Kluyveromyces lactis: one gene and its partner. The protein of the gene in region 2 purifies or fractionates together with the protein of the main gene of each other region. This does not show direct contact. Links are inferred from orthologs where the notes say so. Each region holds a gene or a part of one and is shown on either strand. Other genes may lie near its edges.

What was found.
Region 1: the proteins of PPH3 (region 2) and SPT5 purify together in Saccharomyces cerevisiae (affinity purification with mass spectrometry, with the first as the bait; 3 studies listed by BioGRID). This does not show direct contact. The link is inferred for Kluyveromyces lactis from reciprocal best matches to the Saccharomyces cerevisiae genes PPH3 and SPT5.

The regions. Positions count from the first base shown.
Region 1 is NC_006038.1:68,114-84,908, reverse strand, and holds SPT5 (transcription elongation factor SPT5), read left to right. Parts: upstream 1-13,556; coding exon 13,557-16,667; downstream 16,668-16,795. Other genes in the region: TATA-binding protein-associated factor TAF11, read right to left, coding at 1-33; GPI-anchor transamidase GPI17, read right to left, coding at 387-1,937; TRM9 (tRNA (carboxymethyluridine(34)-5-O)-methyltransferase), read left to right, coding at 2,400-3,245; UBX2 (Ubx2p), read left to right, coding at 3,615-5,477; mRNA-binding protein NPL3, read right to left, coding at 6,442-7,470; CYM1 (pitrilysin family metalloprotease), read left to right, coding at 8,300-11,248; ERV25 (Erv25p), read left to right, coding at 11,743-12,381; RAD33 (Rad33p), read right to left, coding at 12,709-13,239. UniProt on the Saccharomyces cerevisiae protein: The SPT4-SPT5 complex mediates both activation and inhibition of transcription elongation, and plays a role in pre-mRNA processing.
Region 2 is NC_006041.1:888,715-892,697, reverse strand, and holds PPH3 (phosphoprotein phosphatase PP4 catalytic subunit PPH3), read left to right. Parts: upstream 1-1,614; coding exon 1,615-2,541; downstream 2,542-3,983. Other genes in the region: PEA2 (Pea2p), read right to left, coding at 1-813; AIM25 (Aim25p), read left to right, coding at 3,072-3,977. UniProt on the Saccharomyces cerevisiae protein: Forms the histone H2A phosphatase complex in association with the regulatory subunits PSY2 and PSY4, which dephosphorylates H2AS128ph (gamma-H2A) that has been displaced from sites of DNA lesions in the double-stranded DNA break repair process.

The DNA of each region.
Region 1 (16,795 bases), on a different chromosome or scaffold from region 2:
TAGCTTGTACAAAGGCCCATCAGCTTCAGACATGTTTCGCAAACAAATCACTGATGCCAGTAATTACCAATTGATGAAGCTTTGGCTGTGTTCTTTGTTCTTACTGGGCTGTTCTGCCGCGTTTTTCTTATTTTGTTTCCTATTCCTTATATCGAATTTATAAACCTGATTTTTTATGTAAGAGAGTTATGTATGAAATAAAATAAAGTGCTAACAGAACGTTGTAAACTCTACAATAGACATCGATTTAGTTTAGAGTATAAATGTGCTAAGGAATAATTTCGAAAACAGTACAATCATGAAGAATGAATCATAGCGAATTGAAAGAATGAATGCTATTGAATTGAAGAAATATATTAATGAGATCATAGAAGGTGGATCTCATTTTACTCTGCCTTTTGTCCCTTATCGTCAGCCTTGCCATCTTTTCCATCTTCTTTCTTAGACTTTGTAATGACTTCCTTTAAGGACTTGAAAAATGCTGTAAAAGTAACAACAGTTATTGGCCCAAGTAATGGCAAATAGACAGCAATCTTGTGTTCTTGTGGGAAGAATGTCTGTTGAACCATTTCTTTGTGGAAAAATGCACGCTCACATATTTTTACAAGTCTATTAGAGAGCCTTAATGCTTCGTTCCAGATTTCATCACTGCCAAGTTCGGGGTTGTTCAAAAGGTCCACGATCTGCAATCTGAGATTTAATGCATTGTTGACGTCTTCGAGAACTTCCCTTGGAATAGACATTTGTTGTAAATGATTCGTCATACTAACTAAAGAGGATAAAGTAGTGACACTTTTCTCCAAGTTATCAATAATGACTTTCCTCTTAAATGAGTCTATCCTAACTAATGGTGAGTTCATATCTTCAGCTACCTCACTCAATCCCAATAATTTGAAGATGTCGTGGGCAAAAGTTGAAATGACATCAGCAAGGTAGTCGTTTGTTATGTAAGCATTTGTTGGTAATGGATCTTTGTTTATCACAACAACACCCCACTGTGGTACTAAGAATGATTTCCAGTCAATACCATTTCCTGTCTCGTTGATAAAAGCTAAGGACCCAGTTTCAACTGAAGGAAAGACAATGGCTAGATTTATGGAATTTTGTTCCCGATAATGGTTCACGGAGAAGAGGTCAGACAAATCCAAAGTGTGAGAAAGATCATTCCAGGAAACGTATTCAGCGTTAGATAAAGAATGTAAATTCAAGTCGTTATGATACTCAATCCCTGTGTCAACGGTAAAGTTCACCAATGGAGAAAGGAGATCTCTAATTGGAGTGAAATATTCCCTTAAAGTAGCGTCAATATCCCAGGCAATAGGTTCCGCATCACCAGTTAAAAGGGAGATCGAGATATGGATGTTTGGGTCATAATTTACAGCCATGTTCCTGGATTTTGAGTCACTTTTAACAGAGTTCTGATGATATTTACTGAAATGCTCCCATTCTATCTTAAACGTGTGCTCTATTAGGGCCTGAGCGACGAAAAATGGAAGATCGTTGTTCACCAGGGATTCATCATTGAAAAATATAATAGTTTCTTTGGTCAATTGAGGTATCGTTAGTCCCATGGACTCATCCAAAACCAACTTGACCACATGATCGTTATTTGGATCTGTTTCGCCCTCTTTGAACGGTAGTATTTGCAACGACCACTGTACCTTTCTTTGGTGTTCATCAGCACTCTGTAATAGCTCATCCGCCTGTCTTTGAATGGCATCACATACATCAGGAAAGTTATATATATCCGATTGCACGTATACAGGGATAGTCAAATGGATATCTTCGTGGAGGTTTGCATGCAAACTCTCAATGTATTCTGCAGGTAGTGGTGCCCTGTATATGGTAGTCAATCTGTACCATAAAGGAACTCCAAGTAACACGTAGCAAAGCGCAAAGGATAGTGTTACAAGACGACGTAGAGTGACTGTACTCATCGTAAGGAAAGTTCAAAAAACACTGTATTCTTTTAGACTTGCTGTTGGGATCACGAATACCTTTGGAATAATTAGCGAAGTATTTTAGCCGAAACCTTCGAATGCTCTAATGAAATCAAGTTATCGACGAAACCTATTGCCGCAATTCCACTAGTCACTTTCCGATATACGCCTTTGAAGGAAAACTAATGGACGTTAGATATTAAGAAGCATAGCTTCTCTTGAATCGTTTCGAAATGTCGACTTATTTGTCGAACATTAATTTCAAATTGCATGGCTTAGTGTCTGTTTTCTGATTCGAACAACAGATATAACGAAAAAGTGAAAAAAATGGATAATGGCAGTATCAATGAGGTACAATACGTGCAAAAAGAATGAAGTTAAGATCACAGTTTCAGAGTATTTCTATATGCTCCTTAGATACAGCTAGACGCAGTGTAGTCTGTGGGGTTTTCAAATATAATGGCTGAATTGAAGGAAGAAGAATACGTGCACCAAGTGTACAACGATATTGCTCCGCATTTCTCACAAACCAGATATAAGCCATGGCCAATTGTATCGGAGTTTTTGATGTCTAGAGAGATGGGTTCTATCGGTATTGATGTTGGCTGTGGAAATGGGAAGTACCTTGCTGTGAACCCGAATGTTTTTATTTTAGGTTCAGATAGATCCTCGGGGTTAATTACGTGTGCACATGATATCAATTCACAGTACAATGTTCTAATTGCAGACGGGATCAAGCTACCTCATCGCGATAATACTTTCGATTTCGCTATATCCATTGCGGTGGTGCACCACTGGTCGACCAGAGAAAGAAGAGTTGGAGCCATAAGACATATCATCAGCAAAGTAAGACCCGGAGGAGAAGTTTTGATTTACTGCTGGGCATTGGAACAAGGTGATTCTAGAAGAGGGTATCGAGAGGGTATGGAACAAGACGTTTTAGTACCGTGGGTTTTACAAGATCAGAAGAGGGATACGGAAATTGATGAGAAATCTGGTAAAAAGGGCAAAATACAAGTCCCCAAGCCAGATTTATCCACCGTTCCTAAACATGAAAGATCTGAATTCTTGAACAAATGGAAACTAGAACAGGAAGCTCTCAGGCTAAAAAGAGAGCAGGAAATAGAGGAAGAGCGCAAGAAGCTCGAAAAGGAGACAAAATCCAACACGAAGTATCGTTACTACCATCTATATCGCGAGGGGGAACTAGAAGAGGATTGCCAAATGGCCGGAGGAATAATAGTTGGACAAGGTTACGAAAAGGATAATTGGTACGTAGTTGCTAGAAAGCCTGGCAACCCTTAACGATTGCTAATATAATATATAAACAGCATAAATATTACATCGAAATATACTTTTATAGACAACAGCTAGTACTCATTGCAATTTCTTTGTTTGGTTTATTAGTGTTTCTTACGATATTCTGACGGTGCACTAAATTTCTGTTTCGTTCTCATGAACATTTAACGAAAAAACGGGAAACTTTAACAGGCAGGCCAACTTAACCAGAAAAGTGCAGGAGGATATAGATTCGAGTTTACTGATAAGCTACATTAACTATACTGCATATATTAGCTGTGAATGTATAAAATTGACAACCCAGTATTTTTGGCATTGAGATCCGAATTAAAGTATATCTGCTTGAGCGTACTGTGATTTGTAACGAACCTTAAAATGCCAGTAATTGAACATAATGATCAACGATTTGAACTCTCCCACTCAGAAGAGCAAAAGCTCAACGAGTTTCAAATGATAACGTCTTTCCCCACTGATGAATTGCCTAATGTTATAAAGCTTCTACGCAATCATTCTTGGCAATTGGAACACGCTTTGGGTAGATATTTCGACGACAATTGGAAAGAAAATCTAGACTTTGCACCACAGCCTACACCCGCTCAAAACACAATTCCTGTCCAACAATCACAATCTGATGAGCGCCAGATCCTGGAAGATACGCGTTCAGAATTACCAATATCACTGAGAATCCCAAACATTTTGGAGAACCCGTTTGGAATGGTACCTAAACTACCCTTTATTCACAGATTACCATACAATTATAAAGAAAAATTCCAAATCATCGGATTAAACGGACAGCCAAATGCTACTGATGTATACTCGCGCAATTCTGTATTACTTGCCGTCTTATTTTTGCCGAATTTAATAGTTAGGCTTAGCGTGCATATGTTTTCATGGCTTGGCATTCTAATCTCGTATGCACTAGGTCAGAATATGGCAAAATCAAAGGCTTCATATAATTGGGTAATCCCGCAGAAACCTCAGGTGGACAGAAAACCTGAAGATACATTTGCGGATATAAGGGAAACATGTGGTGAAAATGCTGAAGAACTTTTGTCTTTATGCTCTATGAAGAGCTACAATGAAATATTTGATGAATGCGAATCGAAATACAAGTTTATGCTTTTGTTATTCTTGGGACCAATAACTGGAGAAGAAGAAAAAATTTGTCATAGCTCGAAAACATTCTTAACGCACTTTTTATCCCATCCATCAACTATTGCACTTTTCAAAACTCATAGCGACAACTTGGAAATATACATCAGGACAGTCCAAGATCCTGAATGTTGGGCACTGGCAAAACAACTAAAATTAAAATACACGTTAGAATGTCTACTTGTGGCTAACGTGCACAATCGTTTGAATTCTACTTCCGGTTCAAGGAAAATGTCTGTTCTTTCTGCTTTGAAGGTTAAATCGCTTGCCCGATTCCAAGATTCTTTCAAAAGCGCAATTCGTCGCTACTCTCCTGAACTGATAGCGAGCCAAACGGAAATGCAAGAGCTAGAAATGGTGAGAAAAATGAAGGAAATGCAGGATGAAGCATACCACGAATCATTAAAACTAGATACCGAAAAGCAGTTAGAACGTGAAAGGCAAGAAGAAAGTTTAAAACAGAAACTAATTTCTGAAGCGCAACAGAAAGAAATCTTGAAAATAAAGGACCTATTCTATCAATTTACTATGCTGTTACACTCTTTAAAATCTGGCAGCAATGCTGAGGTCAAGCCAACAGAAAAAATTTCCAACATTCAATTCAGAACCTCTGATGGTAAACGAATTGTTAAAAAGTTCTCAGGGAGTAACACTTTACGCGATGTTTACATCGACATAGCAGCTCATTTATATTTAACATCATCTGACCAATATATTGAAGGAAATAATTTGGATACAATCAGCGAAATATTGATAAATATCAGCGAAAACCCTGAATACGCTACCGCTATTGAAAGCACCAACATTGCTGGAGAACTATTGGAATCCAAGACGGAAAATCAACTAAAAGCAATATTAGAAAAGGGTATTTCCGAACTCAGATCTAAGACCGAACTAGAGGATATTAGCTTTGACTTTGAGTTGGTTTCGCCTTTCCCTAGAAAACAAACTCCAAATGATCCATCCATTCAATTGAAAACAAGGTCAGAACTATGGCCAAACGGGAGTCTCTTGATAGAATCATTGGACAATGATGACAGCTCCGAAGGAGAGGATGAGAGTGATGACGCTGGTCATTCAACATAACGATATAAAATTAAATAGTCAAGTGACTAGGAGTCGATGTTAGAGCATAACAACAGTTTTATCAATAAGATTTGTTTAAGGTGGGTACAAGTTTGATCCGACAAACCGCCCAGTTTGTAAAGAATCAAATTCGTACACATCAGGATAACGTCAAGGCCTTCGTAGGCCTCCTACAAGTTCAAGACAATTCTACATTACCATTTTCTTGAAGAGACACAAAATAATGGTGGTTGATGCACTGTAATGTCGGCAATGCAAGATTAAGAATCACAAATTGGAAAATGGACTAAGACAAAATCCACTGATCGGATGCAAGAAACAATAAGTTGTTGATTCGTTTAAAAGCGCAGTCTTTGACGCTGACATATATGTGCCATTTGTAACAATTCTGAGCTGGAGTTAAGGTTGATTTTCAAGCACAGTTACAAAACACAACCAATTTCCCTCGCGAAATTGATTTCCATGATCATCACTACTTCTTCCTTACTCTGGAAGACCTCTTTTCTAGTCGCAAAGATAAATAATAAAACAATACAATAATAATCCACTATAAAAACATAATCATTTTTTCCTTCTCCTCACGATCCTTGATGTTCTGTTCGGATCCACAAGTAAAAAGATTTTTTCCTGATGATGGGAGGTTTTTCCTATACTAATATTTAATTTTTTTTTTTATTCTCAATCCATCAAGGTTGATACCTTCAATTCATTCCCAACAATTGTGAGTAAATTCAAATTCCAAGTAAAGTTCAGAGGTTTCTTGGTGTAACGACAAAGTATGAAAACAACGGGCGAAAACAAGAGCTTATAACTCCCTAAGATAGTAAGCATAATAATTCTGTTAAAAGTGACAAAAGAAAGCTAATACCAACTCCGATGATAATGGTAGGGACACACGGTTTGATGCTTGAAGTAATTTCACAACATTCTTAGATGAAAGCTATTTGTGCACTCCAGAAATCCTCTAATCTCTAACTGGAGATCTTTCACGCGCTTGGTAGCCTTCTCCGCTGCCTCTTTGGTAGTCTTCTCTTGGTGCGTAGTCTCTGTTACCGTAACCGCCACGGCCACCGTAACCACCGCCACGACCACCAAAGTCACCGTAACCGCCTCTTGGACCACCGTAGCCACCACGGCCACCACGGAAACCGCCTCTTGGACCACCGAAGCCACCGCGACCGCCAAAGCCACCTCTTGGACCGCCAAAGCCACCGCGACCGCCGAAACCGCCACGGCCACCAAAGCCACCTCTTGGACCACCGAAGCCTCCACGGCCGCCGAAACCACCGCGACCGCCGAAACCACCACGGCCACCAAAGCCACCGCGACCGAAACCGCCACGGCCTCTAAAACCACCACGACCACGAGAGGATCTGATTGGTGGTGGGTTTTCATCTTTTTCAACAGCCAAAACTGAACCACGGAATTCGATGTTGTTCAACTTTTCAATGGCTTCCTGCAGGATCTCTTCGGTTGGGAATTCAAGAGCACCAGTACCGTCAAAGTCTCTGGTGTTGACACTGGAGAAAGTAGTTTCTAACTGGTTATCTCTGGCCAAATCCTTCAATTCTTGCCAAGCACAGCCTTCTGGCAAGTTTCTGATAATGACTCTGAATCTTGGCTTTAACTTCTTGGAAAATACAACTTCCAATGGGTAGTCGGCAAACATTTTACCGGCAACGTTTTGAATAGCTTGGGAAGCAGACTCAGCTTCTTCAAACTCAACAAAAGCGAACCCATTTAAAATCTTTATTTCCTTCAAAGCACCGAAAGGTTCGAAAATTTCCTTCATTTCAGCATCAGTGACATCTGGAGGGAAAGGCTTCACAAATAGTCTGGTATCAGAAAGCTCTTCATCGTCATCAACTCTATTATTGAAATTTTCATAACTTTGAGGTGGTGGAGCAGTTTCATATGGCTTTTCATATGGCTTTTCATATGGCTTTTCATAGGTTTCTTCTTCGACAGCTGGAGGAGGAGGAACGTCAGACATCTTGATATTTCGCGAGTAAGTGTTCTTGGTTGTACCTTGAGCAAAAGAAGTGAAACACTAATATCTTAGTCAAAAACAATACTGCAACGCCACTCAACGATGATGGAGTAGAATTTTTTTTCCAAAAACCAGGTTTTAAATATGTCTTTATATATAGGAGAAAGTGAAAATTTTAAATGAACATCGGGAAAAGAAAAGACAGAAGAGAATAGTGTCAAACAAGGTTTGGTAGGTAGGGTAAAACTCTGGAATCCTCGGTACAAGTCTTTTTAGAATGAGTGCTGATAAGTATCGCATGCACAGATATAAGCCCTCATACAAGTCATACTCCTACCAAATACGATCTGAGAGGCTATATTGATCAAATGCTCTCATTGCTACTTGTATTTACCATTGTTATACAGAAAGGTAAGAGTGACACATGTATCACGTGACTTGAACTTCAGTTTTTCATTTTTTTAACTCGTCAGAAGTGAGACCGTAGTTCATAGCTGTTTTTCTTCGATAGTATGGAATCCTGGAGGAAAGATACTAGAGCATGCCAAAGGTCTCTTAACATATTGATAAGTCAATTTAGCGAATTTATCTCAGAGGCAAGAAACGAAAAGCCAAGCGAACTAGCAGTTTAGAGGGGATATTTCCGATATTTTGACCGTTCGTTTTCTCTTTGCATTTCTTTTATCTATTTATTCGCAATAAATCGTTATAGAATCGTTGACGACAGTAATCATTGATTAATATACCAAGATCGAAAAAACTGGGTTTGAAATATAAGCGAAGGAATATTGAATCTAAATCCAGGTGGAGAATTCTTGCATTATAAAATACCATGTTTCAAATTCGTAACTATGCCACAAAATATGCACAGTCTCGGGCGCTGAGGAAGTACCCAGTAGGTGGCGTTTTTCACGGATATGAAGTGAAACGATTACTTCCTGTCCCTGAACTAAAGCTAACAGCCGTGGATTTATTGCATAACCAAACCGGTTCACAACATTTACATATTGATAGAGATGATAACAACAACGTGTTCAGTATCGGATTCAAAACCAATCCCCCGGATTCAACTGGTGTGCCACATATTTTGGAACACACAACTCTTTGCGGTTCTCATAAGTATCCTGTTCGCGATCCGTTCTTCAAGATGTTAAACAGATCGTTGGCAAACTTCATGAACGCTATGACTGGTCATGACTATACTTTTTACCCGTTTGCTACCACTAATGAGACGGATTTTGCTAATCTAAGAGACGTTTACCTTGATGCAACTCTAAATCCATTGTTGAATCAGCAAGATTTCCTACAAGAAGGTTGGAGGCTTGAACACACTAAGGTTGATGATCCAAACAGCGATATAGGTTTCAAAGGTGTTGTATACAATGAAATGAAGGGTCAAGTATCCAATGCTAACTATTATTTCTGGATTAAGTTTCAAGAAAGCTATTATCCATCCTTGAATAACTCTGGTGGTGACCCAACTAAAATGACTGATCTTCAATATGAAGATTTAATCAGTTTCCACAGAAATAATTACCATCCTTCTAATGCTAAGACGTTTACATACGGGAACTTCGATTTGAACAATACCTTACAGAGGTTGAATAAAGAATATCAAGGTTATGGTAGAAGGGGTTCTAAGAAGAGGGAACTATTACCAATCCAAATGAAAGAAGATGTTTCTGTAGAAACCGAAGGACAGGTTGATCCTATGTTACCACCGGATAAACAGATCAAGACCTCTGTGACTTGGATTTGTGGTAAACCTGAAGACACGTACCAAACATTTCTATTGAAGATCTTGGGTAATTTATTATTAGACGGACATTCCTCTCCTTTCTATCAAAAACTAATTGAAAGTGGGCTGGCGTACGACTTTTCAGTTAACACTGGTGTAGAGTCGCAGACTGCTGCAAACTTTATCACTATTGGTGTTCAAGGATGTGATGAAGTGGATTCGATATATGAAGTTATTAACAAAGTATGGGAAGAAGTATTACAGAATCCGTTTGAGGAGTCTAGGATCCAAGCAATCATTCAACAATTAGAGTTATCTAAGAAAGACCAAAGGGCAGATTTCGGTTTACAATTACTGTACTCGGTTTTACCAGGATGGGTTAACAAGACTGATCCATTTGATTCTTTATTGTTCGATGAGACACTAGAAAGATTCCAAGAAGATTGGGCCACTAAGGGTGATAATTTATTCAAAGACTTAATCAAAGAATTCGTGATTTCAAAACCTGTATTCAAATTCACCATGAAGGGCTCAGAAACGTTCTCTCAGAAACTTGATGCTGAGGAACAAGAACGTTTGGAGAGAAAGTTAAAGCTCCTTGACGAAGAAGACAAAAAGGTCATTTTCGAACGTGGTAAACAATTGCAAGAACTACAGGACCTCAAAGAGGATTTGAGTTGCCTTCCTTCATTGCAAATTAGTGCAATTCCAAGAGTTTCAAAGACATACCCATTGTTAGAGAAGGATAATGTTTTAAATCGTATTACCGATACCAATGGTATTACATACGTCAGAGGTAAGCGTTTACTAAACCACCATATTCCAAGAGAACTTTATCCTTTCCTACCATTATACGCAGACTCATTGACGAACCTTGGTACTTCAACTGAAGAGTTTTCCACCATTGAAGAACAAATCAAATTGCACACTGGCGGTGTCTCAACTCGCGTATCTGTAAATCCAGATGCACAGACTGGTAAGCCTATGCTGCTATTCCAAGTTGATGGATGGGCTTTGAACAGCAAAACCGATCACATCTTCAAGTTTTGGAAGAAACTTTTATGTGAAACTGATTTCCATAAGCACAAAGAAAAGCTAAAGGTCTTAATAAGATCATTAGCATCTTCAAACACAGCGTCTGTGGCTGAGACTGGTCATGCTTTTGCCCGGAACTTCGGTGCTGCTCATTTAAGTGTAACTAAAGCCATCAACGAAAGTTTAAACGGTATCGAACAGTTACAGTTAATCAATAAGTTATCTCAATGTTTGGATGATGAAGCACTATTTGAGAAAGAAGTGGTTTCAAAATTGGTTGAGCTTCAATCATATATAAATGGCAGTTCAGACATGAAATTCATGATCACCAGTGATTCTCAAGTTCAAATCGATGCAGTTCACCAACAAATCACGGGCTTTTTGAGCTCCTTACCCAAGGATTCAAAACCATGTGACTTCTACTCTGAGAATTACTCAATGTTGGAAAACCCAGGTAAACCAACCCTACTCCAGTTCCCATTTCAGGTTCATTACACCGCCAAGTGTTACCCAGGCGTTTCCTATACCCATCCTGATGGCGCTAAGCTACAAATCCTTTCTAACATGTTGACACACAAATATTTGCACCGTGAAATTCGTGAAAAAGGTGGCGCATATGGTGGTGGTGCTACTTACAGCGCTTTGGATGGTACTTTCAGTTTCTATTCTTACAGGGATCCTCACGCTTTAAATTCTTTGTCCACATTCGATAGCGTTCCAGAATTCATATTGAACAAGTCTTCGTGGGGTGAACCAGACTTGAATGAAGCGAAATTGAGTGTCTTCCAACAAGTAGACTCCCCAATGAGCGCCAAAAACGAAGGTACCATTTTATTCCATTACGACGTAACAGACGAAATGAAACAACGTCGTAGAGAGCAACTTTTAGACGTCAACTTGAATGATATACATCAAGTGGCAGAGGAATACCTCAAGCAAGATAAATCCATTGCCTCCATAGTTGGTCCGGAAATCCCAAATTTTGATGCCTTAGTTCAAACCGTGTAACGGGAAGCTCTTTCTTGTACATAATACAACCACATTATATATATATATATGTATTTATAACTCACAATACCCAATTACTAATTGTGCGTCGCAGTGCCTAGACGTACTTGCACACGGCAGAGTTATATCCCTTGTTCCTTGATAAAACTTAACATCTGCCAATATCGATCACGTGTAATCATCATAAAAAACGCGTCTTTTACGTATGGTTGGTTCTATATTTGTTTGGTTTCCAAAGATCAAAACTTCGAATTTTAACACCTTTATTGCATGGTTGATTTTCACGACAGTTCAGATCGCGAAGAATATAATAAAATATATAGGTTTCGGTTTGAAATTTAAAAAAAAAAAAAACGTATATCTAATTCTAACTGAATTCAAAAAGATACGTTGCTACGTTTGTTTCCTAATTGATTCTATCAGGAACCTCATCCGTGTTAACACTTGTCAAGGAGTGAAGCAAAGAGACAAACCATATATATACAGGCCAAAAGATGAAGAGCTTTGCTGCTTGCGTGCTTCTACTATGTGCTTTGTTCTTTGAACAAGTATTTGCTGTACGTTTCGACATTCCAGCCTCTACGAAACCGGAACAAGTCTGTATTCGTGATTTTGTCAGTGAGGGTCAATTAGTGCTCATTGATATTGAGACTGATGGTTCTGTTGGTGATGGTCAACAGTTGAATCTATACGTTCGTGACAGTAACGGTAACGAATACCGTAGGAATAGAGACATTGCTGGAGAAGTACGTGTTGTATTTACTGCTCCACAATCCACCTCATTTGATGTTTGTTTCGAGAATGTGGCGCAAGTTAACGGTAGATCTTTGAGCCGTTCCATTGAATTGGATATTGAATCCGGATCCGAGGCTCGTGATTGGAACAAGATTCAAGCCAGTGAAAAATTGAAACCGGTGGAAGTTGAACTACGTAGGATTGAAGAATTGACTGACGAAATTGTTGATGAATTCAACTACTTGAAGGGGAGAGAAGAAAGACTAAGAGACACCAACGAGTCCACCAACAGAAGAGTTAGAAACTTTTCTATCGCTGTCATCGTTGTTTTGGTCGCTTTGGGTGCATGGCAAGTAAACTACATGAAGAACTTCTTTAGAGCTAAGCACATTATTTAGAATGTTCGAATAGTTTCAATGCCTTGAATCTCAATACGATCTTCAAATATTGAATTGAAGAAACATACATCATATGGTGAGCCTTTTATACGTGTACAGTATCTATATATGGAAAATGGCATAATTTCTAAATCGGACGAGTAGAGGGGGAAAGGGATTATATTATGCCTAGACGGGTAGGTCTTTGTTTTTGCTAGAATTCTATGTTGATATGGCCACCAGTTACATTTATAAGTTTTGTACTAAGTTACTAGTGATATTCTTCCAAATGTTCCAAAGATTGACGTGTTTTTTAGGAAGTGAATTATTTAGTGGATTGCAATGATGCTAGTATCTTAATAAACCCATTTTACCAAGTAATTTGGCAAAGTCTAGGTAAGTGACAAATACCCTCTCGCCGTTCGTAGCCCAACTTACCATTGACAGGATAATATGTTGATCCATATCCACTTGAACAGCAGCCTTCTGGACATCTTTAACACTTATCACGTGCTTCCTTAGTGCAACCTTAGGGAACTGTTGCAATCTACCGGTATATTTTAATAGTAGTTCCCATTGTTTATCTATTATACTCTCGTTGTCCATGAAGATCAAGAGTCGATAAGTGACATCCAAGAGTTTTTCGAAATCTATGACGTCAATTCCATCCAAGCATAAGTCCTTGAATTCTAATAATCCGTACCATGATTTACTGATTTGTAATTCCGTATAAAAACTAGAAATATCAGCCCACTTGAATTCACCTTCTTCGGTGAAGCTTAAATATATCGATAGGACTTCATCTTCAATCTCGGTGGGCATTCTGGCCTCATTCCATCTGGTAATTGTGTCATAACTGACATCATTCTTTTTCCGCATAACTACATTATCTGGTCAGCAATGACTCATCGGTTAATATTGTCCTTAACGTAGCCAGAGCTGATGTTATATATTAAAGACTACATAAGGTACTAGCTGCCCGTTCGTTATGAAGTGATGCAGACTGATTCATCGGCTACTTAAGTACTTTTGAAATACTTAGGCGAGAGTTACCCTCTATTTGTGATCCTTGAAAAATTTCAATCTAAACTTCCCAATTTTCAATACAAAAATGGTAGTCCACGCTAAGTTGTAATGATGATCAGTATGCATTACAGTTCGCATTCACGATACAAAGCAACAGTCAGTAAGACGTCATGAGCGGTACTGCTGAGGAATCCGATAAAGCAGAGGCTGTTTCTGTACCTGAAACAGTTTCTGGGTCAGTTGAGAGTCAAGATAAGGAGCATAACTCTACTTCATCTTCGTCTGATTCTACAGATGTGGTTGGAGGCAAGAAAAGAACTATCGATGAAGTTGATGGGAGTTCTGAAAACAACTCTGCATCTGTCGATCAGTTAAAGGACGCTCCTACTGATTCTAAACCAAAGACAGAGGCTACTGAAGATAGTCCAATTAGGGGAAATCAAGGGAACAATCAAGAAAACAGTCAAGAAAACAAAGACGATGAAGATGATGAAGATGACAATGACGACGATGACAATGACGATGACGATGACGAAGATGAAGATGTCGAATCATATAGGAAGAAGCAACGTCGTGAAAGAAACAGATTCTTGGATATTGAAGCCGAAGTCAGTGAAGACGAAGACGACGAAGAAGATGAAGAAGATTCAGAACTAGTTCGTGAAGGTTTCATTACTCGCGGTGACGAAGAAGACGAAGAGGATCGTGGTGGTAGAGTTGATGACAGACTGCATAGAGAATTAGATCAAAATCTTCAAAAAACTGCGGATGAAGACATGCACAAGATCGCTGAAGACTTCAAGAAACGTTATGGTCGTGACTCTTCCAAAGATTACCGTGTACAAACTCAAGGTGGGTATGTACCTCAGAGGTTTATGTTACCAAGTGTTGATACTGCTATTATTTGGTCCGTTCGTTGTAGACCAGGGAAGGAGAAAGAACTAGTGAGAAAGTTGCTAAATAAGAAGTTTAACTTGGATAAATCTATGGGCTCTAAAAAATTAAAGATTCTGTCCATCTTCCAAAGAGACAATTACACAGGAAGAATCTATATCGAAGCTCCAAAACAATCTGTTATCGAAAAATTTGTCAACGGTGTTCCAGATGTCTATTCTAATCAAAAGCTTTTGATTCCCGTGCAAGAACTACCTTTACTATTAAAGCCTACCAAGTCAGATGAAGTGAGACTTGATGTTGGTTCTTATGTTAGAATTAAAAGGGGTATTTATAAGAATGATTTGGCAGTCATTGATCAAATTAGTCAGAACAACTTAGAAGCTCTATTAAAGATTGTACCCAGATTAGACTACGGTAAAAATGACGAAATCGACCCAGATACAAATCAGAGAAAGGCAAAGAGAGCAACGTTTGCTAGTAGGCCTCCTCCTCAATTATTTAACCCTACTATGGCATTAAGGTTAGACCAAGCCAACTTATTCAAAAGAGATGACAGGCACTTCACTTACAGGAAGGAAGATTATGTTGACGGTTATCTTTTCAAATCTTTTAAGATTCAGTATCTTGATACAAAGAATATCCAACCTACGGTGGAAGAATTATCAAGGTTCGGCAGTAAAGAAGGTGATGTCGATCTAGCAGCTATTGCTCAAACTATGAAAAAAGCTCAAGCTTCTAAAGCTATGTTTCAACCAGGTGACCGTGTTGAAGTGTTGACCGGGGAACAACGTGGATCTAGAGGTGTGGTGACTAGAAGTTCTAAAGACGTCATCAGCGTTAAACTATCGGGCTTTTCAGATAAATCATTAGAGTTCCCAATTGCATCTCTAAGAAAAATTTTCGAACTTGGTGACCATGTCACAGTAATAGCTGGTGAACATGAAGGTAACGCTGGTTTGGTTCTTTTGGTGCAGAACGGTCAAGTCACATTTGTTTCTGACCAAACTAGAGAAAATTTGACAATCTCTGCGAATAACTTGAGTAAATCTATGGATTCTACTCCGACATCAAGCGAGTACGCTCTACATGACATTGTTGAGTTAAGTGCCAAAAACGTGGCATGTGTGATCCAGGCTGGACATGATATTTTCAAGATTATTGACGACTCCGGTAAAGTGGCTACTGTTACTAAAGGCTCAATTCTTGCCAAGATCAATGTAGCAAGAGCGAAAGTAGCTGCTGTCGATGGTAATGGTAGAGAAATAAAAATTGGCGATGTAGTAAGAGAAAAGATCGGTTCCCGTAGAGAGGGACAAGTACTCTACGTTCAAAACCAACATATTTTCATTAGATCGAAAACAATAACGGAAAATGCCGGTGTTTTCGTTGTTAATCCAATGAATGTCGAGGCTGTCGCCTCAAAAGAAAACTTGATGTCGTCAGCATTGGATTTATCTAAAATAAATCCAAATATTGCGTCTAAGATGGGACCACCACAAACTACTCAGCAGACGCGGTTAGTTGGCCGTGACGTCGCTTTGAACAAAACTGTTAGGATACGTTCTGCGGGATACAAGGGGCAGTTGGGTATTGTCAAAGACGTCAATGGAGATAAGGCTACTATTGAATTGCACTCCAAAAATAAGCATATTACAATAGACAAAAGAAAACTTACTTACTTCAGTCATGAAGGTGGTGAAGGTATAACATACGATGAACTTGTTAGTAGACGTGGTAGAACTCCACATACCAGATTGGGCCCAAGCTATGTCAGTGCACCAAGACACATGGCTGCCGGTGGTGCGGTGGCAACGAACACTCCGCAACAACTTCCTGGTGGAATGACTCCTGGTTGGAATGCATTTGATGGCGGTAAAACTCCTGCGGTTGGCCAGAACGGAGGAACTTCATCCTGGGGTGGTGCTTCGACATGGGGCGGACAAGGCCCTGGTGGTGCTTCTGCCTGGGGTGGAGCTGCTGGAAACACTTCCACCTGGGGTGGGCAAGGTGCTACATCAACTTGGGGTGGTGCGTCCACTTGGGGTAATAAATCTAGTTATGGAGGCGCCTCTTCTTGGGCAGCAAGCGGAGAATCAGGAGCAGCTTCTGCCTGGGGCGGTGGCAATAAATCAAGCTATGGAGGTACTTCTACCTGGGGTGGTAACCAGGGAGGTGTCTCTGCCTGGGGTGGCAGTGGTAATAAATCACAACGATCTAAAAACACCGGTGGAAGTTCCACTTGGGGTAACAATCAATCGCAGCATAACTCAGGAGAGAGATCCGCATGGGGCAATGCATCCCAACACAACAATAGCGGCAATAGATCTGCTTGGGGTAATCAGGATGCTAGAGGTGGTGGAAGTACGTGGGGTGGAAATAATTAGAAATAATCATACAAGTTATTGCCTCACGATAATTTACAAACCTATCAATTGTTCATCTTATTATCTCCAAATTACTCCACGCGATGTGGATGTTGTATATATAGTCTTGCCCAAATTAGTCTCAGAAA
Region 2 (3,983 bases):
ATCGATATCCATTGGAATTGATTGCATCTGTGAAGTGACTTTCGATTTCTCCTCGCGCTCCTTCAACTTACTATGATAGTGTAAGAGCTCTTCAGAAAGCTCTTTGTTAGTCTTGTTCAGAGTTTCTATAGTCGCCTGGTATTCATCTCTATCATTTTCATATTTCGATTTCAAGAACTTGTATGCAAGTTGTAAATCCGTGATAGCCGTTTGTAGGTCCTGTTGTTTTGAGATATCGTTAAGTTCCAATTCTGAGGTAGAAAGGGGCGCGTGTTGCAAAGAACTGCTTGAATTCTGTGGGTATGCATCCAACAGGATGTCGATGTTTTTCTTACAAAATGAGATTGGATCATGTACACCCTCCTCGTTGGAAGAATTGTCTATTGATGCCAAATTGATACCTTTAGAAATGGAGCTAGAGATCAGGTAGGAGGTGATCTGTTCCACTTTCCCCTCATCCTCATCAGTGCTTTTATTGGCTAAAGATTTATCATTCTCTAGTACCAATTGGACTAATTCTTTCAACGTGTCAACGTCTACCGAGCCAAGCTTTTGTAAGAAAGTAGTTCCCTTAGTACTTAGAGAACCGTTAGCAGATTCATTAATCAAGTACAATGCAAATTCCAATTTCAATTGGGAATCCAAATCCATTGGAAGCTCATCCCACTCCGAATTTTGTCTATTGGATATCAGGGAATTCGTACTCGTAGTTTGCAAATATTCATTCAACTGTTCATTGGGGTACTTCCCATGCAATTTCTCTACAAAAGAGGTATTGTACTCGTACCATTGGTCCAGGTTATTACGAAGCATTCTATCAAGGGGCTAGCTGCGATCAGTATCTAGCTTGGTTTGGTAGCAACTTACATTTTAACATTCCGTTCATCTATCCAGACGCGTTGATTCCGATCAATGCCTTTCTCAATTACCACGCACGGGACATACATGCAGTTTCCGGGTAATACAAGCACATTATCAACCACGTGATATTTGACATCACCACGCACGAATACCGCCATTCCGATGTCTGGGTGTCATCTTCCGAAGGCTTACATAAGCACACCTCATTACCCGCATGTCACGTTAAATTATCGTTTTTGTGGCCGAAACACAAAAAAGGAAGCAAACTGATAAAAAGAAACGTGAAAAAAGAGTACAGGCAAAAAAAAAGAAACAATGGAAGGAGAAGAAGAAGAAGAAGCAAGATTCTGAACAATTCCCATATACAACACAGGCAAGCATTCCACACTACGCTATATACTGTAGACATACCGGAAAGCGCAGACCGACAAGTTGACTTTTCAGGCTAACCGAAAAATGTAATTGTTGTTACCTCTTTTGATACTTGATACTTTTATTTCTCTTGATACTTGCATTTTGTCTATCTCATCGAATTTTGGAAAATAAGAAAGTAAAGAAGCTTTTAAGCCTATATTGTTAATGATGACTATTCAGTTTACCTTTGTTAGATTAGTTTAAGGTAGGTTTTTGTTGGATTTGATCCAAACTCATCACTATAGAATAATATCGTCAGTTCTTGAACAGGGAATCACTTTTTTTTATCTTTTATACTTCCAGTTGGTTTTAACTTTAACGTCGTCTGAGCATCTGTCAATGATGAAACTCGATGAGATTATAGAGACTCTAAGGCAGGGGAAACATGTTGACGAGGATTCGATATACTCGCTGTGTGTCATGGCTCAAGAACTTCTTATGAATGAGTCTAACGTGACACATGTGGATACGCCAGTCACAATTTGTGGAGATATTCATGGCCAATTGCATGATTTGTTGACTCTCTTTGCTAAGAGTGGAGGCATTGAAAAGAATAGATACATCTTTTTGGGAGATTTCGTGGATAGAGGGTTCTATTCGTTAGAGAGTTTCCTTCTTTTGGTATGTTATAAATTAAGGTATCCAGATAGAATTGTGTTGATACGAGGAAATCATGAAACAAGACAGATTACGAAGGTTTATGGGTTTTACGACGAAGTGGTAAGGAAATATGGTAACAGTAACGTATGGAGATACTGTTGCGAAGTATTCGACTATTTGCCCTTGGGTGCCATTGTAAACAACAAGGTTTTCTGTGTTCATGGTGGATTATCGCCGGACGTTTTATCAATCAACGAAATACGAACCATCGATAGGAAAAAGGAGGTACCGCATGAAGGTGCTATGTGTGATTTATTGTGGTCGGATCCAGAGGATGTGGATACTTGGTCTCTTTCCCCGCGTGGTGCAGGTTTCCTATTTGGCCAAAACGAAGTAGATAAATTTTTACACACAAATAGTGTCGAATTAATCGCTAGAGCTCATCAATTGGTCATGGAAGGTTATAAAGAGATGTTCGATGGGGGATTAGTCACGGTATGGTCAGCACCAAACTACTGTTATCGTTGTGGGAATGTGGCTGCTGTGCTGCGCATCGATGACGATATGACGAAGGATTACACCATTTTTGAAGCTGTTCAGGCGAGGGATAGTGGAGGTAATGTCATTCTCCCTACGAAAAAACCTCAAATGGACTACTTCTTGTAACTTATTACCATTATTATTTGCATTTTTCTCTCTCTCTTCTCGATTTGCTGACCGATTCCCGTGTTATTGGTTCAGTCTTCTTTTCTTTCAGCATTATTTAACAGCATGGTATATCACCCTGATCCTCATTATCAACCGACCATCCTCCCAGCATAGCTCAACCTACAGTTGTTGCTTTGTATTAATATTACCTCTCTTCTTAATCTCATTCAACACAGTGATATACCACATTTCAATAAAAGTATCCCAATAGGTATGTAACAGTAAACTATTTCAATAATTGTACGATTGAATTATATGATTCATTTGATAGCATACATATTATACTGTAATATGGAATTTCTGGTTGTATTCCATTCGAGCAGAACATTTATGACGATACTTTTACCTTCCCTTCAATTTTGGATTTAACGGTAATATTTTGATATTTGATCTTCAATTAAGTATCTCAACCTTAAACGGAGTCTTACAAAAAGTCAAATAGACGTTTAGATGCAAGGGAACAGCTGACCGGGCAATATTCATACACCATGTGGAGATATAATCTAGCACTTACCAGACGAATTTTCAGTTCGCAGCCTGCTGCTCTAGTACGTCAGTATTCTGCTTTCAGAAGGCTTCCTAGAGTGGCAACTCCGGTAAAGGATGTTTCTCGTTTGGGCTTCAATGGCGTGCCAAATATGAACAATGTGACCATCCAGCAGTATGATCCCATTGCAACTACCATTTTAAATGAACCTACCATCATTATTGAGAGACAAATCGAAATGATGAACGTTGTGCTTGGTTTTGAACAGGCTAATAAGTATGCCATCATGGATGTCATGGGGAACAGAATTGGGTACATGCAAGAAAGAGATTTCGGATTCTTTAAAGCTATAACAAGACAAATATACAGACTACATCGTCCGTTCACCGTTGATGTCTTTGACAATTACGGCAACGTTTTAATGACTATTGAAAGACCCTTTTCCTTTATCAATTCACATATTAAGGCTATATTACCCGATGAAAACAGAACCCTTGTTGGTGAATCAGTGCAAAATTGGCATCTGTGGCGTCGTAGATATGAATTGTTTCAAAGAGAATGCGAAAACCCTTCTGAGTTTACTCAGTTTGGTAATATCGATGCACCATTTCTAAGTTTCGAATTCCCAGTTATGGACGAGAACAACAAGATTATTGCTGGTTGTGATAGAAATTGGGTGGGGATAGGAAGAGAACTATTCACTGATACTGGTGTCTATATTGTACGATTCGATTCTCAGCAATCATTTGATGGTGTATACCCGCAAGAGATGTTAAGTGATAAGGTCTTGAACTACGATCAAAGAGCTGTCATGCTTTCTAATGCAGTGTCGATTGATTTCGATTATTTCTCAAGACATTCACGCTACGGAGGTGGACTGTTGTCGTTTGGAACATATGACGAATGAAGGAAC